4 linked regions of the Nothobranchius furzeri genome follow. The protein of the gene in region 1 binds, or shares a complex with, the protein of each later gene. Links are inferred from orthologs where the notes say so. Each region holds a gene or a part of one and is shown on either strand. Other genes may lie near its edges.

Region 1 (5,916 bases):
GGTGGTGAAAAAGACGCCCTTGAAGACAGTGATGATGGCGATTACGAGGGTCTGGAAGTGGATTATATGTCAGATGAAAGCAGGTGAGATCTTATTACCCTACCACCCCCTCCCCGTTTACCCCATTCCCTTATTAGCTTTAGTTCATGCTAGCATGTTAGCTATGTACTCATGTCCTAGTACTATCCTGCATGTTTTAGATGTTTCTCTGCTCCAGCTTATCAGATTTAGTGTTTGGATTTATTACTTATCATGTCCTACAGAGGTCTGATTCTAGTCAGGTGTTTTAAAGGTACAACATGTTAGAATATTACAGTGAAATAATCACAAAACAGGCTAATGTCTCAATCCTGTCTGAAGGAAAGCTGCACTGAAACATGTCAGATGTGAAGAGGGACATAGTCATCGTTTACAATCTGTCCCGCCGTCATACTTCCTGGTTGCAGAGCCAATCATATGTGAACCTGTAGAGTTGCAAATCTGCCAACGATGCTACACCAGCATTTGTAATTCGACACTAGCAGACAAAAAGCTCCAAAGTTGTGTTGAGAACCAAAGCCAGTTAACAGGAGCAACCCAGAAGTTATTTCTTGTACCCTTAAGAAGCCACAGCATCTTTTTGCTTTACTCTAATATTGGGGGAAAAAAAGGCTAGACGCTAACGTTGAGCTAACAATGCTAACGATGAAATTGACCTACTTGATATTACAGTTAAATGTATTTACCTACTTATCAACTTACTGCATTCGACTCGTCTTAACTCCTCATCTAGAATCTTCTGGTGCTGATCCGTGGCTGACGACAGCTGTTCAGAGCGGACATGTTTGTTATGAAACATGCTGTTCCCGCATGTGACCACAGAATGCTGTTGCTACTTTATGCACTTTAAGTAGAGAAAAGTCTCAAACTTCCACTATTTTCTGGTACAACTATCATTTATGACACAGTGTCATTAGAGATGCACTGATTTTGATAACAAGGCTTGTGTGTGTGTGTGTCTTTCTTTTAGAAATGGTTGTGTGTTCATGTGTTATTTTCTTTCCCAACAGCCCAGATGAAGACCAAGTTAACGAGAAACCCACCAGAGAGGAAGAGCATCCTAAAGGTTGGTGTGAGACGATACTGGTATTCTCCTGCAGGAGTTTTGTTTGTTTCTCATTGAAGTAATTTGTCTGTTTGCAGGAATCGATGAGGAATCAGAGAGCGAGGAAGAGAGCGAAGAGGAGAAGAAGAATGAAGAAGAAGCAAAGGAGGAGGAAGAGGAGGAGGAAGGGAAGAAAACCCCTGTTCAGGTGGAAAAGAAGAAGAAGAAAGGTATGAACTTCACGAGTGATGTTACGACCCCTCCTGTCTGAAAGGAGTAACTCAGAAAATTAAAATAAAAGGAATGCACCAAGGTCTTAGCAACAATTTGATGTTTGTTATAACAAAGGTTCACTCAAAGTAGAAGAGGCACTGCAGTATAACAGACAAAGCAAGTCTCCTGTATCCAATATTAATTGTGACATTTAACCCACTGGGAGAAAACTATCTCAACTCATTAACTAAACACACATGCTGGATAAACGCACAGCAGAACTGGTGGAAAACTGGGTTAAACACTGAAGGGGAACTAAATCTAAAGAAACTGTTGTCTTAAAGACATCAATTAACTAAGCGATCTCTATACTACGAGTTATTCTAATAACAGACAAGCCACAACCAAGGGGATGACGGAGAAGATCTGTGCCCCCTTTTAAAGGCTTGAGCTGTCTAGATGCAGATTCCTGCAGCAGCGTGTCGCTCTCCCTGGTGCTGAAAGTGGAGGCTGGAACTGAGCTGGAGAGGAGAGTGGCAGCTTGCAGGTGCTGTGCAAGGTTCTGACTCAGGAGAAACTTACAGGAGCTGTAGCAAATTACAATTTCTTTTGGGTTTAGATTTTAAAGATGGCTGAGTTCCGGGGTCAATTATTTCTTTTTGTTCGTGACAGACAGCAGCGGCGAATCAGACAGCTCCGATGACAGCGACATCGAGGGAGAGACGGCCTCTGCTCTGTTCATGGTGTGTGTGTGTGTGTGTGTGTGTGTGTGTGTGTGTGTGTGTGTGTGTGTGTGTGTGTGTGTGTGTGGGAAAGAGTTCTGCTTTAAATTACAGCTCAGTTAGTCATTCATTGACACATTATGACCTAGGGGTGGGAAATTTAACCTGTTTTTTATGCATCGCGATCGAGACAAAGATTCTGACTGCATTTTAAAATGTAAAAAATGATGTTAATTGTAATAATAAGAGCGGGTAGGAACATATAACCCCAGTTTAACACTAGAAGCATCAGCAGCACGAAACGGTTTACTTGCAAACTTCAATGCGGTCCTCTTCACACGGGGAGAGTCTTGGCCGTGGTACGTCTTCCTTCCTGTGCTCCTCGCTGGACTCGCGGGATCACAAAATCTCTCGAGATTTCAAAGATCACGGTTTGTTTATGCAATCTGCCATTAAACCAAAAAGAAAAAAATCACATTTGATATCGCTGTTTGATGTCATATATGATGTTTTTCTCTCCATAGTCAGGATTAAAGCCATGAAAACACACCGCTGCACTTCTGGAACGATACTGGGAGTAAATAAGACGTTGGGTCACACGTAAGCTTCATATATATGACATTGCATCGTTTCAGTACTTTTATTTTGAAAATTACCCGGGATTTTACACTGAAACCATGTGTGATTTCCTGTCTAGCCTTATGTTCACTGCGGGAATTGACGCATCCCAGAAGCGGCTCGTGGCAAAAATAGAAACCAATCTTTAGCGGCGCAGCGTGCCGCTTCTGGGACGCTCCTGAAAATTGTCGCATCGTGGCTGGTTTCAAACACTCCATAGACAAAAGATTTTATTTGAAGCAGTGACGTTCCGCGCCTCTGATGCTTTCAGTGTGAAACCGGTGTAAGACGGGACATAAATCTGGGTCATAATGGAACCACGAGGAGCTGATAGATTCCCACCCCCTACTACTTAAGTCGAGTGTTTGAGTCTAAATGAAGTTGTGAATATTTCTTTTTTTTGCTGCATATTTGCTTTCATTTTTATTATTTTTAAATTGCTCTTTGCAGAAGAAGCGAACTCCTCCTAAGCGTGCAGGCGGTCGTGGCTCTGCAGGAAGCTCTAGGACAGGAAGTCGTCCTGGAACTCCATCAATCGACTCCGCCTCCACCTCCAACACTCTGCGGGCTGCTGCTAGCAAGCTGGAGCAAGGTGTGTGTGCCTGTAGATTAGCACAAATACGGAAATCGGTCACAAATACCATGTCAACGATGAGAATAATTTATTTTCTTTGATCCTTAAGGGAGGATTTGTGTTTAATTAAATCTCTCTCTCTCCTGTAGGGAAGAGGCAGGGAGCTGCTGCAGACTCCCCAGCTGCTAAAAGGCTAAAGATGGAGCCCAGCACTCAGAGTCCTGTTCCCTCTGGGAAGAGCACACCCCAGCCCCCATCAGGCAAATCCACCCCCAGCTCAAGGTAAGTACCATCAGAAAACAGAAAGAAATAAATCCGTTTATTAGGCTTAAATCAAAATCTAAAACTCTGCAAACTGCTAAAAAACCCTGACTTTATTTATTTATCCCCCGCTACAGTGACGTCCAGCTAACGGAGGACGCGGTCCGCCGCTACCTGATCCGTAAACCGATGACCACGAAGGACCTGCTGAAGAAGTTCCAGACTAAACGGACGGGTCTGAGCAGTGAGCAGACGGTCAACGTGCTGGCTCAGATTTTGAAGCGCCTCAATCCAGAGCGCAAAAATGTCAACGACAAAATGCATTTCTACCTTACAGAGTGAGCAGGTGGGTGGTGCAGCAGAGGAGGGGTGGGGTCTGGAGGGAAGTTTGATGCAGCAGGACTTGAGCTGTGCAGAAACGCCAGCGGCTCTGAACGTATTCTGTTCAACATGTTGAGTTTGTTTAGTCTGAACTTTTGCTGAGTGACAGTTTAAGAGTCGAAATAAAAATCTTAGAGCTTCTTTCAAAATGAAAGGAAACATCTTTAGCTTGTTTTTCTTGAGTTGGAACTTTTATAATGAAATTGAAACCCTGAAAAGTGATTTCCTCTTGCTCTTCTGTCACATTCAGCATCTCTGCACATTAAAGCAGAAATTCTCAGAGAGCACCATCTAGAGGTGGAAAAATGTATCGCATCTTAAGCCCCTCTCCCACGCCATGTTCGTGAACACGCACCTCTAGCCAACCAACAGCTAAAACACATTTTTCTAAGATTATTCTCCTGTAAAGCTGTTTATTCATATTTTTATATTTTAAATACTCACCCACAAGAAATGTTACCAACTCTGCATCAGTCTGCAAACGCTCAGTGATGCAGGTTAAGTACAGATGTGACATCTGTATATAAGAGGATGCCTAATGCTATTGACTAATGAGCAGTCATCATTTCAAATCGCACAAGGCTCTACAGACTCTTAAAAATTGACACATGACCTACATTATCATACAACCGGGTAAGACGATCACTTTTATGTGTTTCTAAAGAGCCATCCATCATTCCTGAAAGGGTAACACTGGATTGCTGAATTCAAGTAAAATGAAAATAAATGAGCATTGAAAAAACAGTTTTTATAAGTTTTTTTATTTTTACATTTGGCAACAAACCAGCATAACTCATCTGGCTTTCTTTATAAAAGCAGGTATTCTCTTAGAGCTCATTTATATTTATGTAGACGAGCTGTGCATCAGTGCTTTTTATCATCGTTGGATTTTGTTTTGGTGACTCATCAGCTCTAACACACTCGGCACAATTACATATGTTACGGCCGGAGCAGTTTGTTTCTTCTGTGTGTTTCCTTTCTTCTGTTTTCATCCTCTCTTGTGCAAAGAGGAGCAACTCTGCAGCACCACTCTCCTCCTGGCTCCGCCCTGAAGCGCCCAGCTGAGGGGAATCCGAATCAGTGGCGGATTCAAGTAGCTTTCCGGAGTTTTCTACTTTCAGAAATCTGTAAATGTGATTATCTTATCATGTGCTGTGATAAAATGTAAGCAATACATCTTTATTTATGTTTTATTTTTTTGCTAAGCACGCCTCCTGCCCCGCAGAGCTCTGTGCAATAGGAAACTGAGCACTGACCAGAACTAACCAATAGCGTTAGACTATCGCTTAGATGCTTCAAATTTAAGGAATACCTCGGCTGATGCAGAGTTGATGAACTTTTCATCAACAAGTAAGTCTCTAAAATGTAAATATATGAAAACGGCATGACATGAGAATAAAACTTGTAAAATAACGTGTTTTAGCTAGGGATGCACCGATGGATCGGCATTTGATCGTAATCGGCCGATAGCGCCCCTATCGGTTTTCAAAATAGATCAAAGCAAACCGATCAGGTAGGGTTGTCACGGTAACCAGTGTATCGGTAAACCCCGGTAAAAAAAAAAGTTGACAATAATAACCGTCTTGTTTTAAAAAAAACTATATTATCTTGGTGGGTTTACCGTGGCTGCGCTGTAGGCGCGGTGACCCTTACCAGCCACCGTATCATCGGCTGAAGTTGACGGCGGCAGATGCACGCTTTGTTTACAATAAAACTTTCTTGAAGCTAAAGCTGAAATAATGGTCAAAGGAGGAGACGGCAGTGCTCAGGAGGACATTTATTATCCCTCAAAGAAGACGAAGTATTTGAAGAATGCCGAGGGAGTTTATAGAAGACGGACGGCTATCCTGTTTGCAGCACGAGCAGAAAAAGTGTCTGTGAAAGGCAGCAACGCTTCATATCTCATGACACATCTGCGTGACCATCACCCACAACTCTACAGTCAAAGCTAACGTTAGTGTTTTAGCTAAAATGCGTGATCCGAGGATTTGGGTTGAGGGAGAATGCAACGAGTCGCTATATAAAGCAGCCGCAGCGCCGCTACCTGCATATAAACCGTGTCA
Region 2 (6,050 bases), on another chromosome or scaffold:
GTGATGTTATTGTGAGCACCAGCAGGCGCCGGCTTTACCTTATTGGACATGCGATGGCAGTGCTGCTCAGTGGTGTGGATCAGAGTCTGGTCCAGGTCCACCATGAGGACCAGCTTCTTGTTTCGATGGAGTCTCTGCTGGTCTTCTCTGGCCAGCTGCTTGGCTTGCTGTGCAAATTAATGCAAACAAAGGACAATGTAGGATAAAGTTCAACTACACACATGTATATATATAACCTCACATAATATTGGAGTGTTATTGGTTTAATGTTGTAATTTTCACAGATTTGCAGGCAAGTGAAATTTTCTAATAAAGCTATATGAAGCCACACACACACACACACACACTTCCATCATATAACTCACCTCAGAGCTGACCATCAGTTCAGGGACACTGTGAACCATGGAGACTGTTGCTGTGGAGATGGGAACTTGTTGCTTCCCGTTTGTTCCCTGGAGCCTACGATGGGATAGAGAGAGAGAGAGAGTAGGAGTTCTGCCCTCTGTGCATCTCTCAGACCCTTCAGCAGATTGTGACTGAAAGGATTTATTACAAACATGCAAATGCATGCATTCATGCCTGCAGCAGTTCAGCGTCCAGAGCCCCCAACGTGGACTCATTAAGCCACAAAAGCATGCCCTGACATTTTATCTCACTGCTGAGGTCTCTGTATTAAATACATGCAGCGTCACATTTTTCTGGTTTAGCTTTTGTTCTTGTTCTACCAGCAGCGTGTTTGAAAACAGTTGAGACTTTTATGATTTCATTATTTTGATTATTGATCGATTAGGTTTAATTGTAAATGAACCCCCCAAAATTTTAACTGGAAAACTCGGTTCACACACTTCCAACACACAGCTCGTGTCATCGCGAGATCTGGTTGTTCCGTCAGAATGAAGGTGGTACACACTGCTGCCACCTAGCAGTCGGAGTTTGAAATGCACCACACAAAATAAATAGTTAATGTTTGCATGTAAATTCTCAAAAAAAATCTATCCGTTGCTTTTAAATGGCAATTCAGTATCATAACATAATTTCCCCTCATATGTTGTTTTTATTACTCATTATTGTCTGATGAGGAAGAATGAACCCTTACCACCTGGGTGTTTGCTGTACCCAGCGTAGCAAAAGCCATGTATCAGATTATATGACGACTCGGTGTTGAGTCTTGTTTTTGGTTAAATATATGTAACATGCTAACCTTGCAGAAATTATATAAACATCCTTGAAATGCATCAAAGTCACCTAACATCCATGTGTGATCTCTGGTGCCACCCGCTGGCACCACACAGAACAACACCCAGTACCAAATAGGGCTGTCGCGGTTGAGGAATTCCTCCTGCGGTGATTCAGGGTGGCTTAATATTGCGGTGTGCGATATTATTGCAGCCCTTTTTTATTGCAGTACTATCTAAACATAATGTTTACACATTTAAAAAAGGTTAAAAATTGCCGTGCCTTCTTTAATAACACTTTACTGAATGCAGATCAAAGGGCAGTAACAACACAGATCGCAGTAACGTTTGTTTCTCCGACAGTCGGAGTCCGACTGAACTTAAAAACAACAAAATTCAGGAGAAGGTTAAACTTTTAAATGCAAATTTGGCTGCAGCATCTAACAAATAAGAAACAAGTCCCCATTTTGTTTAGTTGTTTAAAATCAAGCATAAAAAATTACATGTACCGGGCGCACGCGCGCGCGCCGGGGGGCGGGCGCACTATCATTTCACTTTCACACACACGAATGACGGTGCTTTATAGCTCGGCCACGTCCTTGTTACCTACAAGGAAAACCAGCATGTTAACTACGGTTTGAGAGAGGATCTGAGAGGGGTGGCAACATTTCCAGCAACACTGAAAACCCTCTCGGATGGTGCGCTCGTTGCGCTAACGCACACGTACTTGCGTGCGACTCTGGCGAGCAAAGGGAATCTCTCCCGGTTGTTGCTCCACCATGTCAGGGGGTTTCTTTAGGGTGGATGCATTCCTCCTGCAGGTAGCGAGTGAGCTCCAGCTCGGCTCCAACTCTCTTCGGGACGGTTGCAGAAGCAGTGCTTGTCCGGGACTTCAGCAGGTCTCCGAGCATTTATTTATTTATTTATTTTTGCCGCTGGTGGCAGCTCTGTCTCGGCCAAGGACTCTGGCTGCGCAGCAGCTGACGTACTGAAAACCAAAGTGCTCCCAAAGGAGCGAAGTAACGTTTCGTTTTGATACCAGTGCAGCCATCCTTCTCAACATGCATCATTGAGTTGAACCAAGTTCAGTAATCGCGGTGGCGCATGATGCAGCGCGGTGGGCTTCTTCATATCGCGATATTTCATTTTTGCGGTTACCGCGACAGCCCTAGTACCAAACACTGCTCTCGCTGCAACATGACATTTATTCAGCCTATTTTACCAACTTTTTTAAATGATCAGCATGTGTCCAACAATAACTAAACAGAAACAATGTCCATCCACATCTGGAACTGGGAAAGGAGGAGCAACAGCTGAAAACAAGTAGATTCTGAGTCAATGTGTCCTTACTGAGTAAGATCCTGGCCACACTCGGCGCACAAGCCCTTCATGACAATGGGATGGCTGCACTGTTCAATCCTGACGATGACACCACTAAAAAGACAGATGGTGAGAGAATAAAACAATTATTACAGCACCCACATGTTTATTAAACACGTATTTCAGCTATTGTGGCTCATATAGATGTTTGTCTCTATTTACACTATTACAAATAAATGGGCTACACACACACTGGTGCTGCTATGTAATTAGAATTAAATTAAATAAAGCTGATTCATCCAATGAAGGCAACACTTTTATTGTAGTACAATTAAGGCTGAGTTAAATCCTGATTAGTATCAAGCTGTCATGTTTGCAAATAAAAAAACAGCATGGTTTTTTTTTTGTTTGAAGTAGGATTTTACAAAATGCACCTGAAGGCCACAAGAATAGGCAATAATATAATTACATCACTTCAGGTTTATATCAGTAAATGAAGAGTGAGGTAATGATTTTCCTGTTTCCTGACTGTCTAAAACCTGAAAACGTCCCTGACAGCACTGTGCAAACGTGTTGTTTTCTTCCTATATTGATCTGATTGTTGACTCAAACACACCACAACACTGCCCAGCATGGTGGTGCTTTCAAAATAAAAGTATCGCCTGCTCTTCTTGAAAAACGCAGCTTTGAATTTACAGCAGCGGTGATCGCACACACTTTTATTTCCACACATGTTCCATAATATATTGGATAAATTCACAATACGACGTTTAAAACCAATTCTGAGACTGACGTATACGAACTTCCGCTCTTACTTCCAAGACAACTGTTGTTTTAGGGTTAACTTACTAGCAACAATGCTAATCAAGTTAGCCGTGTTAGCTACTGGCTAACTGACGTTCAAGCAGGGATGCTTTCAAAAAAGTATTTTCAAAACTTTTTTTTATTTGTTTGGCTGTAGATTTTCTTAGAAGGGGTGTGCTGTAGTAAACAGAGCGACTCACCCTGGAGGAATGATTTGTCCAACTTGACAACCTAGCTCCTTCACTACTCCAGAACGGTCTGATTTCACCTTCTTCTCGGGCAGCCTGGCAGCCCCCGTCCCCTTCTCCCGAGGCATGGGAGCACACAGTGCCAGCACAGAGTCCACGTTAACCAGAGATCCGGGCTTGACTTTCCACTCTAGAAGCCGCAGAGGGAGAGCCCCGCTGGGAGAGCACATATCTGCCACCTGCACTGCGGGGCCCTCCGCAGCAGCATCGCCGCCGCCGCCACCAGAATCAGCAGGAGGATCCTCCATCTGTCCTGCAGTCTCCAGAACCTCTTTCGTTTTCTGCACCAGTCCACTTTATACGTATCAAACCCACCTCGCGATGGCCAGTGTGTCAATGTAGCAAACGAATCACGTGTTTGATCAATAAAACAAATGTCCTGGAGATTTAAACACCGTGGCTGCTGTCTCGTTCGCTCTTCCCGCCCGTAAACAGGAAAGCGCAACACTGCAGCGACGCACGTCGCAAAGCTAGGGGTTTGCCGAAAAGTGTATCCCTGTCACACTGGTCAGGGAAAAGGTTTGAAAATAACATTTGAATGAAAGTTTGATGTCAATCAGGTTGTGTTGCATATTTTTTACATACGATTTTTAAAACACCACATTTTACGGGGAGTAATTTTAATTTTGTTTAGAAGTGAGATGATCGTATTTACACTGAAAAGCACACAGTAATAGAATCTTTGCAGATTTTGGACTGACGTCAAATCTTACGCTTCATGGCTAGGGTGCTTTTTTCGACATGACACCGGTAAGCAGGCGGACAGGAAGAACGGGACACTTTTCTACTTGCCCTTCAAATTAAAAGCGCTGATAAAATTCAATGGATCACACATTTGGTCTTCAAAACCGTGTATTACACTGGACTTTCAAACTTACTTCTGTGCACTTTATTCCAGTTTACAATTCAAAATGACAGAAAGTTGTGCGTGTTTACCAACTGTATAAAATAAGGACATGCACTCATATTGGACTCAGCGGATTCCACGATTTTATTTTTAAATAAGAAGACGAAAACGGAAGTGGGTGGGTGCGGTTTCTCTTGCACTCCAGTCTTCTGACCAAAAGTCATGCTAGTGTTAGCTGAAGAAGGTTCTCAGACTGCTGGCGACCTCTTTGACAAGAATTCACGGCTGTGAGCAGGGTGTTAATATTATCAGAGGGAAGCATGACATGGGGGACTTCTGGAGTGGTAAATAAACAAAAATCTGAATCTATGTCTAGATCGTTTTGGCAAAGATAGTCATTGATATTAACCTGTTGACTAACAGCTAACGATTATTAGCTATCATCAAGCTATGCAACTAGTAAAGCTAGATGTGCAAGTTGATAGTCATTTAATTCAACTTAATATATTTATTTATTCATATTTCACTGCATTAAAACATCTGTTGTTTGAAGTTCCATCTCAGTTTGGCAACTAAACAAAAACTGTCTCTTCGTTACTCTGAGCTCCTGATTGGTCCAGTACATCTGTGGTCCTCAAGGGTCTAAATGTGTGCCTGACGCAGTGGCGCTCCTAGAAAGTTTTCTTCGAGGGGAGCCAGTGCAAAATTTGAGATGGCACCAAATTTGTTCCTGTGGTAAATAATGGAGGATTTAAGCCTGATTCATGCTTCTCCATCAGCTCCAACAGGGAGAGACACGCACGGAGATGTTCTCCGTCTCCTGTGGAGCGTTGCAATGCACTTCCCCGCCAGGACAGCAGAGGGCGTAGCGCTGTTCTGTGGTATCCTGTCATGTATCGGTCCAAGATAGTGTGTTTATATTGTGTTTTTTGTATATAAGAGACTTTTTAACACGGACATATTTGTCTCTCATTCTCCTCCACCTCTTCATGCGCTCGCCACCTCGAAACCCACGTTTCCTGTCATTTCCATCCACAAATAAAACGCTTGCTGCGCATCTTTTCACTCCTCCAGTCACGGGGGATTAAACGTTCATATTTTTAGGTTTTTTTTTGCGAGGTATTCTTCAAGCTGCTCCGCTTCTGCCGCTCGGCTCTCTTTATGTTTTTGAGGGCGCAGTGGCGGCGGTGTAGACAACAGCGGCGTCCTGACCAATCACAAGCTTGCGTTGTCCGTCTCGACGGATGGATGTTTAGAAAAGAGAGCTAGACTCTGTCCGTCCTTGCGGAGCTCTCCGGCAGGCCCGCGAGGACGGATAATGGTGTTGCGTGTCTCCGCTCTGACGGAGAAGCATGAATCAGGCTTTAGCCTGTAGCTGCGCATTGCTCTGTGCCTTCAATTTCTCTCATTAAAAACACTTTTACCTAAAATCCGAGAAATAGAAACATTTTAGAAAAAAAGACAATTTATGCTGTTATTTTAATTATTGTTTCCAATTTAATTGTTATAGAATTTAATAACATTTAAATACATTTTAACTAAAACATAATTGGGTGGCCAACAGTTTTCTAGGGGTGGCCATGGCCCCCTCTGGCCACCCTGCGAGGGTGTCACTGGACCGACAGAAAACCACCTTTGATGTGGAGGTCACTGGCA
Region 3 (5,090 bases), on another chromosome or scaffold:
TAGAGCCTATTTGTGGCAAGAATTTGCAGATTTCCTCAACTTTCCATCATTTTCCAAGTGTGTCAAACTGACATTTGTCATTCTGGAAAGAAAAACCTTTTTATTCAGTTCTGTCACTCAGGAATAAATCAGTGTTCCTGGGTTGATTCTGTGGTGTCACTCGTTACATCTACATTGTACGTTGGTGGCAAAAAAATATGGTAAACCTTTGTATTGAGCAGGGGTCTGCAATCTACAGCTCTGGAGCCAAGTACGGCTCTTTGGAGCTTCCACAATTGCTCTTAATAATGTATTCTAAAAATGGTAAAATACTAATTTAAAAAAATATATATTAATATAATAATGCAGATTCAAGCTACTGTTCTGTATTTTCACAGAATCAATTGCATTCAATTTCCTCAACAGAATTACACTATTTTTATAACTTTCCTGATATACAGAATGATATTCATACAGTTTTTGCAAAAGTTTTATTTCATTTTTCCTAATTTAAAAACTTAATCAAATCCCATAGAGAAGATACTGATAGAAGATAAAACAAGAGTTGTGACTATAATCTAAAAACAAAAAAGTCAGAATCATGATTTCAACCTCAGAATTCTGATTAATTTTTAGACATTTCTCAAAAATTCATTGTCTGTTTTCTGAAAGCCCTGTAACAGTGTGGGAAACAGCTCTTTGGATAGTAAAGGTTGCAGACCTCTGGTGAAGAGTAACAAAGACAAACTCATTGGGTTTAAAATAAACCAAAACATTATTAAACACTGAAATATGACACGTTCTGGGACAAAAGAAGAAGTTGGTTTGCGTGTTTATTCTAACCTCTATATGGGTTTGAAAGCCCACAGCCAGTCAGCCACTAGAATTGAGTCAATTTTTATGCCACTCTGTGTGTTTTCAAAGTCACCCACCAAAAATATGTAATGAAAGCATTTATAATAGCATAAAAGTAGTACTCATACTTCACTGAAAGGGGGAAAAGAATTTGTTACTGCACAAACACACCTGTACAGTGGCTCACTAGCCTTTCAGCTTGCAACTGTAAAACTCATCCGGTTGTCTCTGTTTGGTAGAAAGGTAGTTTTGACAACCAGAATGTATAGCTTCACCATATTTTATACCCCCTAAAAAACTCATAAGAGCATATCACCATCACTAGACAGCTCCTCTGACATGTTCAAAAAGTAGTAAGTCAACACAAAAATAAATTTCACCTTACATTGTACAATACAGTGTACTCTTAAAAAACAAAAGAATATGAAAACTCCTATTTTCATAATTTCAACAGCGTATAAATGCAATAATTCAGGTAGGATTCCTCATTTAGCATATGTGCTGTAGCAAATGAAATTACATAGATGATGTATTACTGTATAATGTTACTGATGGTAATGATAATGACATTTATCATGCTGACTGTAAAGATGACTATGGTGGAAATAATATGTATGTTTTATATTTTAAATATTTTCTTTATGCACCCTCCTCTATGAGTCCAATCATTTAAATGTAAAATATGACAAATCTGAAATTCAATCTTATTAAAGGCAGTGAACCAGTCCTATAGTGAGCATTTCTTTTGTGGATTCATGTTAATATTAATTTGTGTAACTATCTGCATTGGATGAAGATTTTATTTTTGCATGGTACCACCTTCAAAAACATTAGTTTTAATCAACTAATTTAGCTCTTTTCCTTAACATTCTGTCAAGATGGTATATTGAATTGCAATTGCATTTATTAGTTATATCAAGGAAAATGTTAGAGTTTTTAAACTCCTTTATCTGTGGTTACATGGATATTAATACTTTTGCTTCAAAGTTGTTTGTTTTGTAAAAGGAAAAATACATTGTGAGGTGAGTGACTTGACATGTTAGCTAAGTTTGATGGGGAGTACTGCCATTTTTATACGCTCGTTTATGAAGTGAGCTGTGGTCATTATTCAGTAGCAATATTGTGATTCTAATGAATTGTTATTTCACTTTTGCACCACATTTATTAAAACCAAATAGACGAAGACGCTCACACGTTTTCCGTGTCAGTTTCCCCATTTTCGTTTTTTTTTTTTTGGGGGGGGGGGGGGGTCAATTTTGCAAATCACAGGAAACGCTCACCTCTTATTCCGCTTTTATTTTGGCGGATTTTACCCGGAAGTTGTTTTAACGACATAAGGAGTGAGAGAACGCCATCATTATCGTGCTGGAGTTACTTTTACCAAGAAAATAGTACATTCATCTGATCTACAGCCTCAAAAGGTGAAACATATGGTAAAACGTGATAAACTAATGACGTGTGTAAGTTCGTTTAGCGGAATAATTTCAACAGCAGCTAACGCTAGCTGGTGGGCTAGTTACGTAGCGGAATACAGCACTAACCATAAGATTTGATTTCAACCGTCTTTTTTAAGTAATTCGTTTTTGGACTATTGATTAATCCATCTGAAAAAAAAAACTAAATACGTGTTTGCTTTAATCGTTGCAGTGCTAGGTTTTGCTGCATTAACGTTAGCAAAACATGCTCACATGGTGGTCTTACTGCGGTGGTATGCGGAAACGTAAATGTAATTTAAGTTAAACGACTCAACTGTGATTGTTTTACATTGTTTTCAAACATTAACCGGGTTGACTTTTGTTGCAGGTATTTAACGATGATAATCCCTGTGAGGTGCTTCACTTGTGGGAAGATTGTGGGGAACAAATGGGAAGCGTACCTCGGTCTGTTGCAAGCGGAATACACAGAGGGGTGAGAAACAACCACGTCTAGCTTCACGTTTCATGATCTTTTTACGTCCGAAATTGTTCTGGCACGTGTTTGAGTAGCTTTTCTACAAAGGTAGAACATTTCAACATTTGGTCACAATGCAGGCAAGCTAAATAACATTTAAAAAGAAGATTGGGTTTAGATTTGTTTTTAAACCACAATGCCTTTCACCTTTCCTTATGGTTTTCAGCAGTGATTAAAACGTGTTTATGTAACATATCAGGACTGATTTTTGCCATCTCCCTCCCTAGTGATGCTCTTGACGCTCTTGGCTTGAAGAGGTACTGCTGTCGAAGGATGCTTCTTTCTCATGTGGATCTTATTGAGAAATTGCTGAATTATGCTCCGTTGGAAAAATGAATGTTGTGGACTTTGTAGCACCATTATCAGGGTGAATGTGTGTACTATGTAACCTTAAATTACGACCACAGAGAAGAATTTATGGAAACATTTTTCAATTACTGGATTTTTTAAAATAAAATGAATAACCTTGCTTTCTTTCGTCCATGCGTCTACATTTTATGTGGTTGGCAACGACTAGCTCTTCAGATCTTAGCTTTGGAAATTAATGGTTTTAATCGCATAGTTCATTTCATGAGATTGGAAAAATTGATGAATGATTAAATGTCTATTTCCTGTCAATGTGACATAATTTTACAGCTTTGTGTAGTTAGTTATAACAAAACACTGGAGGATTTTTTTTTATTTGTAGAATTTATACAAAAAAAAGAATGAAAACAAGTTATTAACAGGTGTTCACTACATGCATGTTGAAATTCTATAATACAAGAATGAATCTACACAACTTTTTCTTAAAACAAATCAGACATGGTGAATATAACTGATAAAAAGTAGGTTTCATACTTTCAAACATCCAATGTCTCAGCTTCAAAGAGTTTTGACATTTATCAACCTTGGTGCAAGAAAATGCTCATCTTTCCCCGGCAGGATTCTTCAGTCTGGGGAGAAAAGGGAACAAAACCAGAACAAAGTCAGAGTAAAAAAAATAAAGGGATGCCAATCTTTCGTGATTTCAGTTAATGCATTCATATTAAATTCAGACGTTAAAGAGCTGTATATTATCCTGATATTGTGTCTGACCTACAGTGAAGATTAGAATACAAATAACTGCTCATTTAAAATGTTTATAAAGGAAGAAATGCTCCCCTGACTCAATGTAATTTTTAGCATATATAACTTTTGTAGTTAAGTCTGTTTATCTTACCAGGTTAGTAGTATCGGTCTTTGTAATCTCGATGTCTTTCTCGCTCTCGTAAGCGCTCTTTGTCCCTGTCTCCACTCCAGGAATGTTCTCTATGTCTTCGAGACGTTCCCGCACCTTCCCTGCTGTAAGAGTCACTTCGGTCACGATCTCGGTATCGCTCTCTGTCACGATCTCTGTCGCGGTCGTGGTCTCTTTCACGACCTCTGTCCCGGTCTCTGTCTTTCTCTCTTGAACGCCTGCTAAAAAGAAAATCTTTAATTAGAAAAAAGCTTAACCCTCTAAGAAAGACAAGCACTCAAACCAAGTTTCCTAAATATACAAACCTGGTTTCACAGTTGCTTTGGATCGAGACTAAACAGTCTTTGAGTGAGGTGACCAAAGCTCGGCAGCGTTCATCCCCGTGCACTTTAGACTGCTTTATGATGGCAATCGCCGTTAATAGTGTCTCCATGGCCATCTGCTGCTCTCCTGCATTAGAAATTCAGGAAATAAGATCGTCTTTTAAAAAGCAGGTTCAGTGGGAAACAAATTTTTTTAACTTATTTTTGAAAATGATCAATGACTGAGTTTAACCATGAAAACAGTCTTCTACCCCTATTTCCTTCATTAGCTTTTGATAGACACTAGACGGAAACACACTCGGTTCAGAAAAGCCTGACAGATCTAGTCACACTGTCACTTAACATTCATGGACTCACCCATCTTGACTCGCGACGGGGAAATCTGTTGTTGGTTTACCGTCCAGGAAACGGCAGTGAACGTCTCGACTAGTAGATGCTAATGATTAGCATTAGCAACTCCACAACAGCAGAACTCCTTCAGACTTGTGTCATTTGTGGAGATAAATCAACGTTGCAAAGCAAATGTAGTCAGTGGTAGAGTCATGTTGCAGTTAGCCAATCCAAGGCAAGATATCCAAATATCAGGAAATAAAACTCTAAATCCTGCCGTCTGAAGCTACGTTCTCCTCCAGCTGGCATCTACGTCCTCAAACAGGCGCACCGGAGCTTCTTGTCCCCCAGAGTACGAACTACAAGGCATTCATTCCTACTAGAAACCACTGCAAATGTATTAAAAAACATGAATAAAGTTGACCCTTAAGAAC
Region 4 (4,812 bases), on another chromosome or scaffold:
ACAGATTTTGATGTTTCCTGAGGAAATACAAGCTTTAATTCTCATGTCTTTTTCTTCTTGGTTATCGGCAGTCATGGCTAGCTGCTGATTGCCCAAATTTGAGAGTGCTGTCAGTGGAGTATGACAGCCATCTGAGTGACTGGATGGCCAAGTGTCCAGCTGAGAATCAAAGGTGAAAATTTCTAGTTTATTCACTTATTTGTGGGGGAAAAACAAAACAAAAAAATGGCTAAATAGGAATTGAATCTAACTTTGTCCAGCAATTATCTTATTCTGCATAATTTATCCTACATCCTTACCTTTTATATCGTCATATTAAGTAAATTAAGTTACAATTTCATGTGATTTTTTTAGTAAACCCAGTCGATTGAGTGGAGGATTAGTTGTCTGTTTGTCTTTCCAGGAAGTCGTTGGCCTACAGAAGTCGAGAGCTGCTAAATAAGTTAAAGCTGGCAGGAGTTGGAGAGAGGCCTGTGGTTTGGGTAGCTCACAGTATGGGAGGTACTCTGTCTGTGCTGCCTTTACCACAAACTTGTCAGACTTTTACCCAGATTTCTGCAACAATCTCTTGATCACATTTCTGGCTATGTGCGACTGTTTCAGGAAAAATAATCAATCTGTGCTCTCTGGGATGTGACTCTCCTCTTAGGACTGCTGGTGAAGAAAATGCTGTTGGATGCTGCGGACGACCCAGACTTGCAGGGATTGATAAAGAACACTAAGGGAATAATGTTCTATAGTGTTCCTCACCGTGGCACCTTAATGGCAGAGTACTCTGTGAATGTCAGATACCTTCTATTTCCTTCTATAGAAGTCAGAGAACTCTGCAAAGGTGAGGGCTGTGATCATTCCTTCTAAAATGGCTTGAATTAAATAGTTTGTTGTCTGCAATGAGTCGATGTCTGTGTGTTCAAAGACTCCCCAGCTCTGCGTAACCTGAATGAGGGTTTTCTGAAAATTGCCAAAGAAAATGAAATCAAAGTGCTGAGCTTTGCAGAGACGTTGCCCACAAATATTGGTCCTATGATTAAGATATTTGTGGTCCCAACTCAGTCAGCAGGTATGTAAGATACAGTGGGGAAAAGTCAATGAGCTATACTTTTGATAAAATAATAAAAATCTGTCATCCAGTTTCTTACCTTCTCTTTTTGAGTAATCTCTCGTTTTGTTCCAGATCTGGGCATCGGAGAGCTCATTCAGGTGGATGTGGATCACCTGAACATCTGCAAACCAGAGAAGAAGGACTCGTTTCTCTACAGACGCAGCCTCCAGTTCATCCAGGAAGCACTCCAGAGATACACAAGCCAATAAAAGACATACAAGCACATCAGTAGTGACATTAAATTGTTTACTTGAAGTTTGAGGAACACTGAGTCCTTCCACCAACAAACTCAAAACCCCAAACCTCTTTTTGTACACGTTTACAACCATAATGTGAGATGTTAACAATCATAATGCAGACACATTTATTTCACACACTTACTAACTGTGATAGATAAACCCGAACCTCTGATTTGTTATCTTTTTACATTTTCCTCCCTTATGTTTTCATTTTTACCGGTCAAAGTCATGTTTCGAGTAAACTCATATTATGAGAAGTACCACCATCTTTCCATTTTAGACCTTGCAGCCACAACAAATATATATTTACTTAAAGATGCATTTTTAAAAACTGCTTCTATGTAGTTTTGATCAGAGTAATGGTTGAAATGTTATTTTTGTATTCATTCATTCTACTGAAACGTGTTGTTTTTTGTGCCAAATGGATTATTTGCCAAGCCTTTTTTAAAATGGCCCTGATTTAATATATTAGGTCAACTCTATTAATTTTATTACATTAATTATGCATCACAATGGGCCAACATATACTAGAAATGAGAATAAATCAAATGAATGAGTACATTTGTTGAGTTTGACTTGTCTATGCATTCATTAAATGATGTATTAAAATACTGAATACAACAGAATTGTTAAATGGAAATCGTTTGGTGTTTATTTTCTAACTTAATCTGACAAAAAGTAATTTAACAAGCATCCATTGCAAAATAGTTAAAAACAAATGTACATGTGCAATACTCACACACACATGCATACGTACGCATGTATACATATGTATGTATGCATGTACATACACGTACACGTTTGTTCAGAAATCTTGCATTATAGATCACTTGGTGGAATTGGGCTGGGAGTAAAGCACAGGAGCGTCAAATATTTTTAATAACAATTTTTCAAAAATCACAGTGAAATCGTTATAATATAAGCAGATAATTACGTGAAATGTACCAGATAGCGTGGAAGAACATGTTAAACGGAAGTGGCAAAAATGCGCATCCTTCAATGCTATAGTGGTAGAGGAAGATTGTCCCTGGTTGCTCGCCGTAGATCTTACCTCAATGCTACGGAACTTAGCTTAAAAAGCAGCTGCTGTTGGGTCTGAACGAGTAGTTTTACACGATTTCTTACCAACTTTAGTGTTCTCCCGAACATTGTGGTTGTTGTGGTAAGTTTTAATTAGAACGTTTTGCTTAAAAGTGTTGCAAAATACGTTGTTAGCTTGTTATTTTTAGCTTGTTTACTATTTCTCATGAATTTTCTCTGTACATTAACTGTCCGGTATGAATATGTGTTGTATATGCATACAGTATTTATGTTACTGTCGCAACATTTTTGCACGTTTTGTTTATTTTGCAGACTTTAATCAACTACACCTGTCATCATGGTGAATGTTCACAAGGGTGTTCTTGTTGAATGGTAAGGAACTTCAGAGTGAAGAAAACTGTAAAATTACTTTCTTCTGTAGAAAACTCCTACAATTATAATGTCTTTTTCCTCTCCATGTTCTGTTTCAGTGATCCTGCTATGAAACAGTTTCTCCTCTACCTAGATGAAACCATGGCTTTAGGAAAGAAGTTCATCATCAAGGATCTTGACGACACACACGTTTTTATCCTGGCAGAGGTGGTCCAGACTCTTCAGGAGAGAGTTGGGGAGTTAATGGACCAGAATTCATTCCCCATCACGCAAAAATAACCCTCAGATCTTTGACTTTCCTCTCATGGACTACTCAATTTGTTGTTGTTTGCTTTTGCTTAATAAAATGAGACATGTAAATGTTTTGGTTTGATAAAAGTGGAAGTGATCAATTGGATAAAAAGTTTCTATTTTTGTGGAGTTCTTTTTCACTTGTAGATGGGGAACAAAAATAATCTATTAAAAGTACTTGTTAATTCACACCATAATTTAACCAAATCAGATTTTTCATTTAATCTAGTTCCGATAGAAAAATAGAAAATCCCTTTATCCACAGTGGAGAAATTTGGGTTAAAGGAATATATGTACATATCTAGAATGGCATGCCAGCCTAGCAATTACATTCATGGCAGGAGCAAAATGAGAAAAATATGATAAACAAAACCTCACAGTTACCTAAGGCATTTGAAGAGGTACATTACAACAGAGTAATTATTGTGAGAAAATAATTCAATTGTTGTTTTTATGATATCAGGGATTCAATTAGTGCTTTCAGATAGAAACCAGAGAAGAAATTGACATTTCTCACAAATCTCATAACGTTAATGAAATACTGAGATAATGAGTTTTCCCTGTTTAAAATGTTTTGCCACCTTCAGTTTGTTCTATTGATGAATGAAATGACAGAGATACAGTTATAATTGTGAAAAGTCTAACACTAGACAGTGTCCCTAATGTTATGTTAGGTGGACAGAAACTGCAAATGTACTTTTAACATGTCTGAGGATAGAAATTTTATAAACGAGCAAATTCTACATCCGAGCATTTCAGTAATGTAACACAGTTGTTTCCTCCAGTGGTTAAATGACCATCGGACTGTCAGAGAGCAGCATGGAATGACAGAAAGAACAAGAAATATAAAGACAGCAGTGGTTCAACACAAAGCATTACATTGTTTGTGGAATGGTTTTGCAGGCTCTGGGACCTGATGATACCTGGACCCTACAAAGGTAGTACAGGTAGTCCTACTTCACCAGGATGACACATCTATATGTTCCATTGCCAGAAGGTTTGATGCATCACCCAGCACAGTCTCAAGAGTGGGGAGTACATTTTTGGAGGAGAGCAGTAACTCTCAAAGAGCTAAACAGGGCTGTTGAAGATCATTCACCCATCAGCAGGACCTGTATCTGTGGAAGGAGGAACAAGACGAGTACAGCCAGGTTTTTCAGTTTAAAGTTTTTGGTAACTTTTAATTACCAACTGTCTAGGTTGCTATTGTGCATTTTTTTCTTTCCTTCTAAGTACGATCTTATGTGTTGTCATGTAATTTTTATTATCTGTCAACTAAAGTGGCACAGTAGGTCTTTAAATTAATTTCTGTGGAAATAAATTGGAAACTCGACTACTTTCTTCTACAATCTGCTCTTTAACTGTATTATTTTCTGCTATTTCAGCTGTTAACTTTATTTTTTCTCTCCCCAGAAGAAGCTACAATGATGTTCTGCTGAGCTGTGGTAGCCTCATGTGGTAGCCATCGGCCTGAAAACTGCTGCTAACCATTTTTCCCTCTCCTGATAATAAATTTTTACTTGCTTTGACATTGGATGTGCTACTACTAGTTTACCCATTTAATTATAGATTCACTAGGATAAATACAATGAAGTTAATCTCTCACCAAATAGAATATTTACTTAGAAATCACAATGTGACCATAGAAACACTACTTCGTATATATGTTGTGTGTGTGTGTGTGCCTGCTCTGTCTTCTCCATCCCCAGTGAGTCGTGGAGGATGGCTGCTTATACTGAGCCAGGATTCTCTGAAGGTTTCTTCCTG

Evidence for each region.
Region 2: the proteins of gtf2f1 (region 1) and ctdp1 are in contact, whole or in part, in an NMR structure (PDB 1ONV), measured with the Homo sapiens proteins. The link is inferred for Nothobranchius furzeri from reciprocal best matches to the Homo sapiens genes GTF2F1 and CTDP1. Residues at the interface, in NP_002087.2 of Homo sapiens: Thr470, Lys471, Leu474, Gln478, Ser486, Thr489, Val490, Leu493, Ala494, Leu497, Lys498, Leu500, Asn501, Pro502, Arg504, Met511, Phe513; in NP_004706.3 of Homo sapiens: Ala946, Asp947, Met949, Ala950, Lys951, Ala952, Leu953, Glu954, Glu956, Leu957, Asp959, Leu960, Met961.
Region 3: gtf2f1 (region 1) and polr2l share a complex: the UniProt entries of both Homo sapiens proteins name them as parts of the TBP-based Pol II pre-initiation complex. The link is inferred for Nothobranchius furzeri from reciprocal best matches to the Homo sapiens genes GTF2F1 and POLR2L.
Region 4: gtf2f1 (region 1) and gtf2h5 share a complex: the UniProt entries of both Homo sapiens proteins name them as parts of the TBP-based Pol II pre-initiation complex. The link is inferred for Nothobranchius furzeri from reciprocal best matches to the Homo sapiens genes GTF2F1 and GTF2H5.

The regions. Positions count from the first base shown.
Region 1 is NC_091752.1:52,157,495-52,163,410, reverse strand, and holds the end of gtf2f1 (general transcription factor IIF subunit 1), read left to right. Parts: coding exon 1-83; intron 84-1,049; coding exon 1,050-1,105; intron 1,106-1,182; coding exon 1,183-1,314; intron 1,315-1,969; coding exon 1,970-2,040; intron 2,041-3,087; coding exon 3,088-3,229; intron 3,230-3,360; coding exon 3,361-3,493; intron 3,494-3,609; coding exon 3,610-3,814; 3' UTR 3,815-4,016; downstream 4,017-5,916. UniProt on the Homo sapiens protein: TFIIF is a general transcription initiation factor that binds to RNA polymerase II and helps to recruit it to the initiation complex in collaboration with TFIIB. It promotes transcription elongation.
Region 2 is NC_091751.1:1,630,757-1,636,806, reverse strand, and holds the start of ctdp1 (RNA polymerase II subunit A C-terminal domain phosphatase), read right to left. Parts: upstream 4,005-6,050; 5' UTR 3,796-4,004; coding exon 3,500-3,795; intron 2,610-3,499; coding exon 2,526-2,609; intron 460-2,525; coding exon 366-459; intron 168-365; coding exon 39-167; intron 1-38. Other genes in the region: adck5 (uncharacterized aarF domain-containing protein kinase 5), read left to right, coding at 4,715-4,738. UniProt on the Homo sapiens protein: Processively dephosphorylates 'Ser-2' and 'Ser-5' of the heptad repeats YSPTSPS in the C-terminal domain of the largest RNA polymerase II subunit. This promotes the activity of RNA polymerase II.
Region 3 is NC_091749.1:62,790,134-62,795,223, forward strand, and holds polr2l (DNA-directed RNA polymerases I, II, and III subunit RPABC5), read left to right. Parts: upstream 1-2,116; 5' UTR 2,117-2,255; intron 2,256-2,637; 5' UTR 2,638-2,647; coding exon 2,648-2,742; intron 2,743-3,011; coding exon 3,012-3,120; 3' UTR 3,121-3,253; downstream 3,254-5,090. Other genes in the region: cleavage and polyadenylation specificity factor subunit 7, read right to left, coding at 3,990-4,224, 4,309-4,453. UniProt on the Homo sapiens protein: DNA-dependent RNA polymerase catalyzes the transcription of DNA into RNA using the four ribonucleoside triphosphates as substrates.
Region 4 is NC_091742.1:2,692,557-2,697,368, reverse strand, and holds gtf2h5 (general transcription factor IIH subunit 5), read left to right. Parts: upstream 1-2,363; 5' UTR 2,364-2,503; intron 2,504-2,694; 5' UTR 2,695-2,719; coding exon 2,720-2,754; intron 2,755-2,852; coding exon 2,853-3,033; 3' UTR 3,034-3,168; downstream 3,169-4,812. Other genes in the region: protein SERAC1, read left to right, coding at 72-172, 404-501, 650-832, 917-1,060, 1,175-1,311. UniProt on the Homo sapiens protein: Component of the general transcription and DNA repair factor IIH (TFIIH) core complex, which is involved in general and transcription-coupled nucleotide excision repair (NER) of damaged DNA and, when complexed to CAK, in RNA transcription by RNA polymerase II.